2 linked regions of the Xenopus tropicalis genome follow. The protein of the gene in region 2 purifies or fractionates together with the protein of the main gene of each other region. This does not show direct contact. Links are inferred from orthologs where the notes say so. Each region holds a gene or a part of one and is shown on either strand. Other genes may lie near its edges.

Region 1 (6,489 bases), on a different chromosome or scaffold from region 2:
GTAGTATAAACTAGGGAGGCACCAAATCCACTATTTTGGGATTCAGCTGAACCCCAAATCCTTTGTAAAAGTTTTGGCCGAATACTGAACTGGGAAGTCATGTGATTTTAAAGATTTGGATTCAGTTTGGCCAGGAACATGGATTTGGCCAAATGCGAATCCTGCTGAAAAGGCAGAATGTTGGCCGAATCCTGGATTCAGTGCATCCCTAGTATAAACCAGCTGAATAATACCATTATCACAAGCCAGGGGTTTTCAGGAAAGTTACAATCAATGGGGGGTGCCAGATGTTACGCACCCCCCAGTGACTATAGTCACTTACCTGATACCCCAAGCAGTGTTCCTGCTGACCAAAACTGCAGCAGCCCAGGGTTCATGCCAAAGAATTTTGCTCTTCCTTTCATCGTCTATCTTTGGAGTCCGGGGCCTGGAGAGTGCGCAGTAGAGTAAAAGAGACCACTTTCTTGTTGAAGTTTAGCTTTTCACTCTACTGCGCTAAGGCAAAAGAAGGAAAAGGATCACCCCAGAGGGGTGTGGTTTTTCGGATAACAGAAGCACAGGGGTATCAGGTAAGTGATTACAATCACTGGGGGTGCTTGACCTTTTGGCACACCCAAGCGATCGAGACATTTCTTCGCCTTTAAACATGAAAAGCTGCAAAACAGCTGTAACCAGGCAACCGATAGCTGTCACTGCACGGGTAGGAGTTTTAGTGGCTACAAAGCCTCAGGTTAGAGGGTCCAGGGCATGGAACAAAAAAAAAAAAGGAATAGTGTGACATCCACAGTGTAACTGTGTCACTGCAGGTCTGCTTACAGAACGTACTCAGGCCATGTTTGTAAGTGGTGCTGCCACTCAGTGGTACGTCTCTGTAGTGCACCCCAATTTATATCTGCAAATAATAACCTGGGCTTATCTTAGAAATTCAACTCCCAATCCATGAAAAATATCTGTAAGGCAGTAAGCTGGCAGTCCAGCAGTTTCACTACTCTAACCCAGAGTCATCTGCTATAAAGGGCAGTTCACCTTCAAGTTCACATTTAGTATGTTATAGAATCTCCAATCCTTAGCAACCTTTCAATCGGTCTCCATTTTATTATTTTATAGTTCAGCTTTTCATCCAGACCACTGCTTGGTTGCTAGGGTAAATTGGGCCCTTAGCAACCAGATAGCTGCTGAAATGCTAAACTGGAAAGCTGCTAAACAAAAAGCTAAGTAATTAAAAAATAAAAATGAAGACCAATTGCAAATTGCCTCAGATTATCACTGTCTACATCATATTAAAAGTTAATTTGAAGATGAACAACCAAGATAAATATGGCACCCACATTCACTTCTTCTCTGAATACATACAGATTTACCCAAGTTATTTAGGAAAGATTCCAATGTACGGAAAAAGAATTTACCGAGCCTCAAATGACTACTACGAGCAAGTAATAATAACAACATATTAAGACTCTAGAACCCAACTGATAATAAGAGAATGCATATTATAGCTAGTTAGATACAATCTACCCTTATATACAAAAGAGACATGTCCCCTACAGTGGCATTATAGATAAACTGTTAATTCAGATTTCCCAGAAATTTCTGCAAACAAATTCAAACAGAAGCAACTCTAAGTAGCCGAGAGGGGTTGATCAACAATGTGTACACCAGTGAATGAGCAGGATTCCCATATCAGATTATACACTGGGTGGCAGCAATGTATCATTTGGGGCTTAAACTAATGAATAAAGGCAAGAATGCAAAACATGCATGGGTTTAAAAAAAAATAATTGGTGAAAGTGTAGAAGTGGTAGATATTACACTTTTATCTAGTCCATAACGGTAATGGTGTACAATGGTAATGGTGTACAATGAGTACAAGAACTTAACCAAAAACATATCACCGGAAACAAAGTGGGAAATGGGCTGCAAGTAGGAATGAAATAATATACCTAGATATTTTTATTTGCCATATTGAGAATCAAACCTTTATGTGTAGGAAGAAAATATACACTCATTTGGTATGCAGACCCCACTGGATCTAGGTGTGACCTGAAACAGGCCAACACATAAGGAGAAAATGAATGTAGCCAATCAGAGGCATCCAAAGTATAACAACACAAGTCTGATTGGCCTCTCTCCATTGGCTTGAGGAGAGCTCATCAGGCAGGAGTAAGTGAAAGGTAATCATGAGTCCTCATTGGCAGAGCAGCCTGGTTGGCGAGTGACAATCTTTATGTGGGGATGACTCCAGTGGCGAGGAGGATGATGAGGAGTACAATAATTCCAACCACCACGCAGATTATGGCAATCATCTTTGCGTTTTTCCACCAGTACTTGCGGGCAACCTTCTGGGAAGTGGTCTTGAAGTGTTCAGACTGGGTGAAAGGAACAGACAAAACAAGGTGAGGCAGTGATAGAGCGAGTACAGAGAAGGATGATGGGCAGAATAACAGTGTAGGTAGTGGAGAACTAAGATGGGGCTGGAGAGGGATTTAGATGGGATGCCTATGGCTATGGGCACTTACGCTAGCTTCCAGGTCTTCTGTTTTGTTCCTTAGATGATCCAGATTCTCTCCCCGTGCCAGAATTCGCTCCACATTTTGGGACATGATTCCCTTTACGTCGTCCACCTGACTCTGGAGATCCCTCACGCGTTCAGGGGCCGCTGGGGCATTTGCCCCTCCCATATCCTGCCAAAGTAATCAATAATGAAATAGGGGCAGAAATCTGCAAAGACCCAGGATACAGAATCACACATGCTGCCACTCTTTTACAGTTAATAGGCAAAAAATAATCAGTAGAATTTGTTTTCCCTATAATGCTGTAAGAGCTGTGGCACATGTATGGTTAAGGTCAGCCATACAATTCCACAGAAATGGGATACCCTGCAAGAAGCTGGCCAGACATAAGATCCGCTTGTTTCTTTCCCCGATATGCCCACCTGTGTTTCTTTTGATAGAGGACTCAGAGCAGCATTACTATAAGTGATATGGCTGTATTTACGTAGACCTTTCTGATAAAGGTTTCTTTAAAAATCCTGATTAAGTTTTTACCTTTCTTTCTCCTTTAGGGCTCTGGCACACGGGGAGATTAGTCGCCCGCGACAAAACTCCCTGTTCGCGGGCGACTAATCTCCCCGGATTGCCATCCCACCGGCAAAAATGTAAATCGCCAGTGGGATGGCAAACGCAGCGGCACGATTTCAGTGAAATCGCGCAAGTTGCCTCGAGAGGAAACTTGCGCGATTAAATCGCGCCGCCGCGTATGCCATCCCAGCGGCGATTTACATTTTCGCCGGTGGGATGGCATTTCGGGGAGATTAGTCACCCGAGACACAGGAGATTTGTCGTGGGCGACTAATCTCCCCGTGTGCCAGAGCCCTTAACATTAAACTAAGCTTTATATTCTGCAGCCTCTCCACTTTAGCATTTTAGCCGCTACCTGCTTGCTAGGGCCTAATTTACCCTAGCAACCAGACAGTGGCTTGAATAAAAGAGCGTAAAATAAATTGGAGAGGGCCAGAACAGAATGATAAGTTATAAAGTAACAATAACAATTGTATAACAATACTAGTTTAACCTCACAGAGCAATAGTTTTTTTGGCGCCGGGTTCTGTGACCGGTAGATTGGATTTTTAACTGTAGCTGAACAGAAAGAAGTAAAGAAGCTAAGACATTTGGATGACCGTGGATGGGATTTTCTTTTTTGTTAAAGTATGTGCACATAATGTCAATGCTGAGAAGGGGAACTCTGAATTACATCAAGCACTATGGCGAAAATGTTTCATCCTGGAAGTGACACCAATACACATGCTTACAGACTGGCCTAAAGCCTGCTTAACGCTCACTCAGCATACACACTATCTCCACTGACTCCACTGATTCTAACACACGTATGTGCAGTAAGCATTTGCTTAAAACGGGACAGGAGCCCGGGGGCCATTTCTGGCACAAAACAAGAATAGGAAGCCAGCTTCACTTTGGCACTTCCTGAGGCTTTCTGATCCCAATGAACTTCAAAAGGAGTTGATAAAACTAATTACCAGCCCACTGAAAAGCCCTGCATAATAAGCTGTTTTAAAGGCTGCTGCTTAGAGAAGGGAAGGATTTGTTTGCTCAAAAGTAGTTAGGAAGATCTAAACAAACTGCCCTGTTTATAAAGCAAGTGAGGGTAAGTTCAATGAAAATTTGTTTTTATATTGGCAAAAAATACAGATTTTTTAAATTAAAAAACACGCAGAATTTTTTTTAAACACAACTTGGTTTTTGGTGTATACGCTCCCCAGTCCCAATAAACTTAAAGGACCATTGTTTTTTTTTCAATCCAAATTAAATATGTAAGTATAAATAAAACTTTAAGGTGAATCAGCCCTTTAAATTGGCTTGGTGTGCTGTAACAACTCCCTGCCAAGAGCTCCGAGCATCCAACCCCACAAACCGCTGTGACTTCCTGATCACTGCATGGCCGGTATTTCCCATGAGATATATCCTCAAACCTTCGCCACACATACCAAACCTTCCATAGCTCAGATGCTAATGCATTGCTAATGCCAATGCTATTTACTGTGACCTCATCAAAACAGAACGCCTTTATTTCTTTGTCCTTTATCCACCACGGCAGACTTTGTTGCTCCAACATATCATTATAGTTTGCAACTAAACAATTCTAGCGCTGCCATTTAGGCTGGTGGCACATGAAAAATTCTCTACCAGGTAAGAAGAAGATTCTGCCACCTCCAATTCACTTCTTTGAGAAATGCATGACAACATTAGTACACAGAATTTTTGGGCCCAAAGACGCACAGAAGCGCTAGCACCACAGACGTCATACACTCTATAACAACAGGGATCCCCAACCTTTTTTACCCCTGAGCCACATTCAAATGTAAAAAGATTTGGGGAGCAACACAAGAATGGAAAATGTACCCGGTAGTGCCAAATAAGGACTGTGATTGGTTATTTGGTAGCCCCTATGTGGACTGTCAGCCTACAGGAGGCTCTGTTTGGCAGTACACCTGTTCTTTACCCAACCAAAACTTGCCCCAAGCCAGAAATTTAAAAATAAGCCCCTGATTTAGGGTTACTGGGAGCAAGATGTTTCTCCTGAGCCACTGGTTGGGGATCACTGCTCCATAGCAAAGCTATGCTGGGAAGAATAAGACACATGCCATTAGCCTAAATGGCCTATGCCTCAGGCACAACACAATTACAGACTAGCTGAGTTAATCAGTTATTTCCAATTGAAATGGTTACTTATTACTAAATAAAGTGTATAAGATGCCAAAGGTACAATCATGTATATCTGTAAAGTGGAACAATATCCTATATCAGTAACATTATCTAAATAAGTTCATTGCATTTAGGAATATGAACCTGTCCTGCCTAGGTCTCTATGTTTGACAAGGTCACCAACAAACAGCGCATCTTTGCTGGATCAGGCCACATAGTATTAAACCAAATCAGGTTGATGCAATCTTTTAGCTCCTGGACAATCAGATCCCATGGAGGACATAGGAACCAATCCAGGCACAATGCAGTACTCATAGGAATTTCCATACAGATATTGACTTGGGTTGTCTTTATTTTGTCTCTATACATACTGTTTTTTAATTATTTGTCTTCCTCTTCTACCTCTTTTCCACTGACACCAGCTGTCAAAAAACTATTGCTCTGTGAGGCTACAATTATTTTGTTATTTTTTATTATCAGGTTAAAGGGGCCCTGTCACCCTAAGAAATAATTCCAAATCTTTTCCTTCCAAAATCTTATGCATTTGCCATCTTGGTGTTGTATAGGAAGTGCTGAATGGAAAGCTAAAGTAATTGTTATTAACAATATTGCCTGCCCCGCCTCTATGCCACAAAAAAGAATTTGTGTTTCATGTTTAGTCTTCAGAGGACTTTTATTATACAACTTTGTGTGGTTGACAGGTCCCCTGTCTAATGTGTCTTTCTGTGTTTCCATATGGAATCAGCTCAAGCAATGTAATATTATCAGATATATATCACACATAAAAGTTTTGCAAGAAGAGGAAGAGAGGGGTATTCTTGCAGTGCAAAACTGAGGAAGGACAGACAAAGGTGTCAGGAGTTTAGTTAATGTTCTGCCATGATGTGACAAGTCACAGTTAAGAGATGGTGTGACAGGGTTACAGCGAGAGATACGATAAACATCAAGATACCTCTTGCACAACAAGGCACTGAGTTTAATGCAGAAAAGCATATCTTTATCAGATAACAGACAACCTTAAACAGTTTCCCAATGTTTACTGTGGTATTAATCATAGTAATAATATTCATTATTTAGAATTCTATATGTTGGAATGAGAACAGCCACATTTATTTCCTCTCTCACAGTTAGAGGCCTCTCTGCACAGCCCGGCTCCTTTGTGCTCAACCCACACGAGCGGTCTGACTATCAGGGCCGGACTGGCAAATGCCAGAGGGGCTGCTGTAAGATGCCATAGACAGTCACTATTTATTGGGCTGGGGGGGGAGCT
Region 2 (7,237 bases):
CACGTTTTGCTGCTGCAGCTACTGTTTTATTAGGTTGCGCCCCGTGTGTACCCTTAACGTCAGCATGCATGGGGCGCAACCTTATAAAAGAATAGTATAAAATTACCCGCTGACCACCAATGAAGTGAAAATTTTTAAAGGGGGCCCGTGCTTAAAAACTGTATCATGGCTGGGGCCCCTTTAAATCCACGATCCTCCGGGCCCGGGACAACTGTCCCCCCTGTGCCCCCCTGATGGCGGCCCTGACAGTACTAAATTTGCTTAAGAAGCAACTAAATGGCACTGCCTATTGTTACACAGTTTGTTATTCACAAAAATTCCCAACATCCTTCTCAGTTAAGGAAACCTCCAACACACTACCATCTAGTGTATAACTTGCATTTGTTATTTCTACCAAAGTGCATAACCTTGTACTTCCCTATGTTGAACCTCATATGCCAGTTTGCTGCCCAGTTCTCCAATTTAGTCAAATCACTCAAAAAAAAAAATCACTCACTGCAAAGTGGCAGCATCCTGCATTGAACATATAGTTTTGTACAATTTAGTTGCATTAGCAAAACAGAGTACCTCCAATGCCCATGTTAAAAAGCAAATGGCTATGGCCCAATTAGAAATTGCTCCATTTACCACCACTCTTTGTAATCTATCCTTCAGCCAGTTCTTGATGTGCATTACATTATGTTCCAGACCAGTACTACTGAATTTAATTAGTGACCTTCTGTGTGGTACTGTTTCAAATGCTTTATCAAAATCTAAGTAGGCCACATCCACTGCCATCCCAGAGTCTAGGTTTCTGCTTACCTCTGGAACAAACACACAGTATTGTGATATTCAAGTATTGTCTCCCTTATTATCCCCTCCAAAAGCTTAAAACCATCAATTGTAAATGTTAATATTGCTCCAGGGCCAGCCTGGGACCAGCCCAGATGGCCCTTTGTTGGTGTTCCCAGGGCCCTTATTGTTCTGTATGTTCCTGAGCAAAGATTGGGCTTCTTATTTCCAATACATTTGTCAGCTCAACTTCCTCCAATCCTCTGTAACTAAAGATAATTCTGACATCTAAAGAGATACTGACATTAGAAATTGAATCCTTTTTACATAGCATAACATTTTCTTTGCATGCTTTTTAAAGTATTGACTTAAAAGTATTGGCAAAACAGTCAGGTTTAGGAACTTCAAGTAAAAATTACTTACAAAAGCAGAGCTATCAGAGCAAAACAATCAACATGACCTATAGATAACTTTTAATGTACATAAATAATCTGGAGTAGTTTTTTAGTGTCAGTATCACTTTAACTTGATCAATGCCATTGGCACCAAAGCAAAGATCCCAATTTTTTGCTGCCACCTGCTCACTACAGCTACATCCACCACAATGCAATAAGGTTCTAGTATTTTGTCCTCTATACAACGCAGCACAAAATTCAAAAAGTGTTTTCTGTTCACCTGAATATAGTACAGAGCACCACAGCCTAAGTGTACCAACACTGCTAGAAGCCTGCTATTATTCACTCTCTGAGCAGCTGGTCGATTCATTTCCTAGAGAGTGTTGGGCTGGGCATTATGCAAGTTTGTAATAAGCTGAAGTTCTTATTTATGGTGATCCTCCAGCCTATCATAACATTTATCCTTCCTCAGTCCAGAGTGCTTAAAGGGGACCTGTCACCCTAAGAAATAACTCCAAATTATTTTCTATATTGTTAGTTGAGCAAAATGAACTTTACTTACTCTATATAAATAATATCAATCTTGTTTCTTTCCGTCTTGGAATTACTCAATCAAAGCAAGCAGGCAGGCACCATTTTGTGGACACTGTTATTAAGGCAAGCTTGGTATCATGCCAAAATCTTGTTTATATGCCAGAATGGGGGACCTGATGCCCAGGCCCTTGCACTGGCTACACAATTAGATGATGAGGAGGGAGGGGAAAAGTGAGATGTGCAGTGACATCTAGGTAGTGCTGAACGAAAAGCTAAAGTTATTGTCTGCCCCGCCTCTATGCCTAAGGCATAAAGGCGGGGCAAGCAATATATGATTGACATCTGGGATTTTTAAATGCCTCTATAATGGGTTTGGATGTGTTAATATAAAAATGAATTTGGGTTTCATGTTTAATTTGAAAAGGACTTTTATTATACAGCTTTTTATGTCTGGGTGACAGGTCCACTTTAAGAAAATGCAGGAACCAAAAGGGAACCACATCAAAAGATGTGTGTGTTATCAGTTGAGGATATGTCAGTAAACACAATGCAACAGGGTTCCTTTGATGATGGTTATAAATTCCTTAAATAATATCCAAGTTGCACAAGCTCTCCAGCATCAATGATTCTGCCTTCCTTTATGATAAAACAGTCTTTTTCTCTACATAAATACATGGGCATGAAAGTCAGTTTGTCACTTCATCTAAGCTTGTGATCGCTATAGAGGTTGTGCTGAATGGAGCTAACCATATTTATTTAAACCTGCAGAATATTCCATATGCATTTTACATAGCTTCCTATGGTATAAATCAGATAGCTGGATTGTCACTCTTAGATGGTGGGACAGAAGCTAACAGATGCCAGAGAAGATTCTGTGATGTCATTTTATTACAGGTCTCTGCTTGCAGCATAAAGAATATTCTGAAGCTGCATTCTCAGCCTGTCTGCCCTAATTGCTTACTAAGTTTAAATCTCTTCATACAAGGCTAAATATGAGTGTTTGGCCAGGGTGTCAGGTATAACCTCCTTAAAGGCCAGTTTACCCAAAATGTGCTAGACTACAAAGCAAAAAAACATTTTACAAATGGTTTAAGTATAGTGGGAGCTGTAGTCCAGCAACTTCAGGGTGTGTATGCTAGTTCACAATAAAAATCTACCCAGCTTTCTAGGACCAGTGACCCAAATTAATATGCAAAGTAATCCTCCAATAAGAATCCCTTTGATTAGTCTCCATGTTGTTTGTTTTGTCACTGTAATTGGAAGCTTTAAACAAACCTTTTCTATGGCAGAACTACACAGAAGAGCATCCTCCCTTGTGATGCTACAGTGTGATAACATAACAAAATGACATAATGCTGACAAACAGCAATCTCATTGGTAAATTCTCTTGCATCAGTAATTAGTCATGTACTTAAGAGAAGTAAGGGACACAGTGAGAAAGTTTACAACCTCTTTAAGCTCCTTTCTATTTAACCTGCACATTTCTGATCTCCTACACTCAGAATCATCCTCTCACCATTTATGCGCAGTCTCGGCCACAAACCTGTCTGTAGCTCGCAGGCCACAAATTAAATCATCTTCCTTACAAGAGCTTGAAAATACCCTCACTGGTGTATAAAAAAGGAGTTTGCTGCACCTGCACAAGCAAGTACTGTACTACAACTCCCACAGTGCCCAAACTGCTGCTATATTTGAACTACACAATTTCCCACAACCTTGTGACAGATTACTGTAGTACAAAAAGGGCTGAAAAGAGGGGGCAACTGAGGACTAGAAACATATTATTATTGCCAAAAGGAAACACAGGGGGTCTTATAACCAAAAAGGATGCTTGGCTTCCACACTGATGGTACAATGTACAACCTTAACAGCACAAAGACACACTTTCACAAAAAGAAGCACAATGTTTCTCTAATCATCATAACGACACAAGTTTACAGGGTAATTGGCCCATCTCCAGCAGTCTGCCCCAGTTCAGCACACACCTTATTTTCCCAATCAGGTTCAGCTGCGAACAACTCCTGGCCAACAAAATGAACTGAAAATTCTATTCATACAAAGCAGCTATATAAAGCCCGGACGGGCTGATTGTTTCTGCTTCAATTTGTAGTAATGGACTTTCTATACGATTATGCAGCACATTATTGCTACGGCATCACTTATTCATTCAGGGGTGTAACTATAGAGAAAGCAAATGCTGTGACTGTTGGGGAACCCAGGAAATATGGGCGCCCAGAGGGGCATAGATTGATAAACTCAGTCTCAGTATATTTTTATAAAAAATACATTATTGCCAAAGTGGCAAATGACTTTGTTATGGGGCGCAGAAACTTCAAGTCTCCCCACTGACCTGTCTGTTAAACTTTCTGTCACTCTGAAAGTCATGTGTTTGATTATCCTTTATATCAGCCAGTCTCGGTTATCATGTTATATACTGTCAACCTGCCCTGTGCAAATTGTCCATCAGATAACCAGTTCTTAACAGTGTCTAAGGAGCTGGCCCCACAGGAAAATGCACCTAAAGCAACAATGCATGCACTTACCTTTAACCAACTGCTGGGTATAGGTGAACTCTTGCTTTGTAGCTCCTTAATTCTGTATTACAGAGCTGGGAAACTTTTCAAGCTGATTGCCTTCAAGCCTCAAGCCATGCCCATGCTGTGGCACTCACACAGCCTACTTCCTCTTCACTCACAGCGAGCAATAGACAGGCGGCTGCTGCTGCTGTTGTGCTGCTCAGTGGGAGGTGAAGTGTCAGAAGAGGAAGCAGGGTGAGCACATGCACCATGTGAGTAAGCAGGAGGTGTTTCCATCTAAATGAGAAGCAGATAATACTTAGAATTTCTTTATTGGAAAAGAAATGATTCAGAAAGAAACCTCCAGGAAAACATATAACTACTCTGTAAGTTTTATCCACACAGACCTGGCCCTTAAACATCCCTCATCTGCCAGATTAGTCCAGTCCATACTTTTATACCATACCCTGTAGCTTTTCTTTTTAAAGGTTTTAGTATAAAATAGCCAAATAAACATACATGTATTTGATTTTTTTTACATTAATGGTGTGGGGGATTCACAAAGACAGGCACCTAGTGTACACTGGTTCTGTAATATATTTCAACCAAAGGCACATTAGGCACAATCAGTTAAAGCATTACATGCAGGATTATGGAATGTCCCTTTTACACTATATATTTTTTCTTTAGAGAAATTTTGATATATTTGTGCCCATATGCACCCCCAAGGGTGGCCCGTGTGCATGCCTGTCCCCTGACCATAGGTACGTCTGCGCTAGGTAAGGTACGGATCTATTCTTCGCAGAACTGCCTTCAGGTTAGCTTTTCTAATGTGTGACCTGTGCTGCTGCTGCGTGAGGTACCACAAACAAGGGGTGTGCATGGCAGTTTTTCTTTTTCTGTACAGACATGTCAACTCACACAAGTTTTCAGGTTTCACCCTATTTTTGTTTCTCTCATCTGGTCACCAAAAGTAGCAACCCTAGCCAGATTCTACTGCCTGTACACTGAACAGCAATATTATACCTTATAAATGATATATGGTGGTTTATAAATTGTTCATATGATGTGTATGTCATATAATGTGTTTCTACAGGGTGCCATTTACCCCAGATGGCCCTCCTTCATACTATAAGTACTGACATGCTCAACAGGAGCTGTTTCCTTCCTGGGGTATTTATGAGATTATTCACTTCACACCTTAGTAACTATCTGACTGAACCCTGACTAAAAAATTTACACCTTCTCTGTTAAAGTCTTATATGGTTATGTAATATATGTAATAATGTAATAATAATAAAATGTGCAATGTTTGCCTCAGGTCTAGTCACCTATAGCAACCAGTCAGCGGGTGGCATTTACTGGTCACCTGTTTTAAGAAAACATCTTTGTTTTATGCATGTATATATAAAACATTTTATACCTGATTGTAAAATGAAGGGACTATCAGTTTATATGTATGTGTATGACATAGCTACATAGTAGTTGTAGTAGAAAACAAAACTAGACTGGCTCTCAAGCTCAACCTTGCAAAATGTGTTGTAGTCATTATTGATTAAGGCGCTCTTGAGATCTACAATTTTCTCCTTACACAGCCTTACATATCAGCACCCCTCAGTGAATGGGGCTTTTCCCAAAAAGAAAATAACATGTGAACTAATACATTTCTTCCACCCCCATCCATTTTAACTTTGGTTTTAATAAGAAATATGCGAGTTTCCACTTTTCTGTATGGAAAGCCCTGAGTGTTTTCTTGTCATTTCACTATAGCTATATTAAGTTATGTGACGCCTGCAACCTGAAGTGATTCATTTATCGTATGTTACTCCCCCCTCCCACTAGCTGCTCTTCTTAAAGTACAATGGTCTGTGGTGATTGTACCACCTCCTGGGTGGAATCTCCCTTTCAGTTCATGGGAGGATGCAGTAAGGTTGCATGTGATGTGAAAATAAAGTAATTTACTAGAAAAAAAAATACAATTCCTTGTTCAAGGAAATGACCCTGAATTTAATGATCTGAGAGACCTTGAGAGTTCTTGTATCAACACTGGGCATTTTTACACGTGGACAGTAACTGATGGCAGTCAATAACGTTTAGCTTTCATTGCTCTTCCTGCTATTGGCTGAAAAAGTTACTGTAATTACTAATTGGTTGTTATGGATCACTGAGCAGTTGCAAGTTTTCCCAGTGTTAGTAAATGAGCTTGCAGGGCAGAAAATGCCAAGACTTATACTTGTACTTGATTGTCAAGAGGTAACTTGGAGTTGAACCACTTTATTCCTGTCAGTGATCAGCACTGTTTAACAATAACAAGTTCTTCTTTTGTTTAAAAAACAGTTTGGGGAATTTGGGGAGATTTGATGCCAGTGAGAATTATGTGGTAACTGCGAGCAACAATGCGCCAGTGTGAATTTGCTGAACATATGAATCATATCATCAATGCTTACACAATTCTCATGTTTTACCTCTGGCGATTCACACTGACACCAGTGCTAGGGTATATTTAGGAGATTTGTCGGTAGCACAGATTTCCCGAAAAATCTCCCCATTTGCCATAACCCTTAAAATTTCTACATGTGCTATACAGTGATTGTTGAGAAACCCACAACACCCCACTCTCTTTTGTACCATTTTGTAAAAAATAGCAAAGTACTATAATAGACCTTTATGCGTAAGATAGCAGCCTACTGTGACCCTACTGTGGGATAATTTTTACTACTGAACAAAAGGAAATTAAATTCAAAGAGCCAAATGCACAGTCCCACAAACAGGGGCTGAAAATATCTTCACGACATTCCCAAATTGAGAGCTGCCATTAGGTATCTTGGGAATCCATATTCTCCCCCTTGGCCACCCCTTCCCCCTCGATGGTGGCCCTGTTTAAATACTGGGACCTCTTCTCTCCTTACTAACACACTGCATATCCCCCCACCTACCCTCAATTTGCCTACGAACCAACCAAAATTAAGTACTGTTACTGTATTTATTGCAAAATAGGTTTTCCCAACTGTTGTGCCTTTC

The links. The genes of interacting proteins can lie anywhere in the genome.
Region 1: the proteins of stx11 (region 2) and vamp8 purify together in Homo sapiens (co-immunoprecipitation; 3 studies listed by BioGRID and IntAct, counting the BioPlex papers as one, with this or other methods). This does not show direct contact. The link is inferred for Xenopus tropicalis from reciprocal best matches to the Homo sapiens genes STX11 and VAMP8.

What each region holds. Positions count from the first base shown.
Region 1 is NC_030679.2:125,656,973-125,663,461, reverse strand, and holds the end of vamp8 (vesicle-associated membrane protein 8), read right to left. Parts: intron 2,682-6,489; coding exon 2,517-2,681; intron 2,367-2,516; coding exon 2,223-2,366; 3' UTR 1,804-2,222; downstream 1-1,803. UniProt on the Homo sapiens protein: SNAREs, soluble N-ethylmaleimide-sensitive factor-attachment protein receptors, are essential proteins for fusion of cellular membranes.
Region 2 is NC_030681.2:45,303,641-45,310,877, reverse strand, and holds the start of stx11 (syntaxin-11), read right to left. Parts: upstream 3,741-7,237; 5' UTR 3,686-3,740; intron 3,545-3,685; exon of another isoform or gene 3,520-3,544; intron 3,242-3,519; exon of another isoform or gene 3,217-3,241; intron 1-3,216. UniProt on the Homo sapiens protein: SNARE that acts to regulate protein transport between late endosomes and the trans-Golgi network.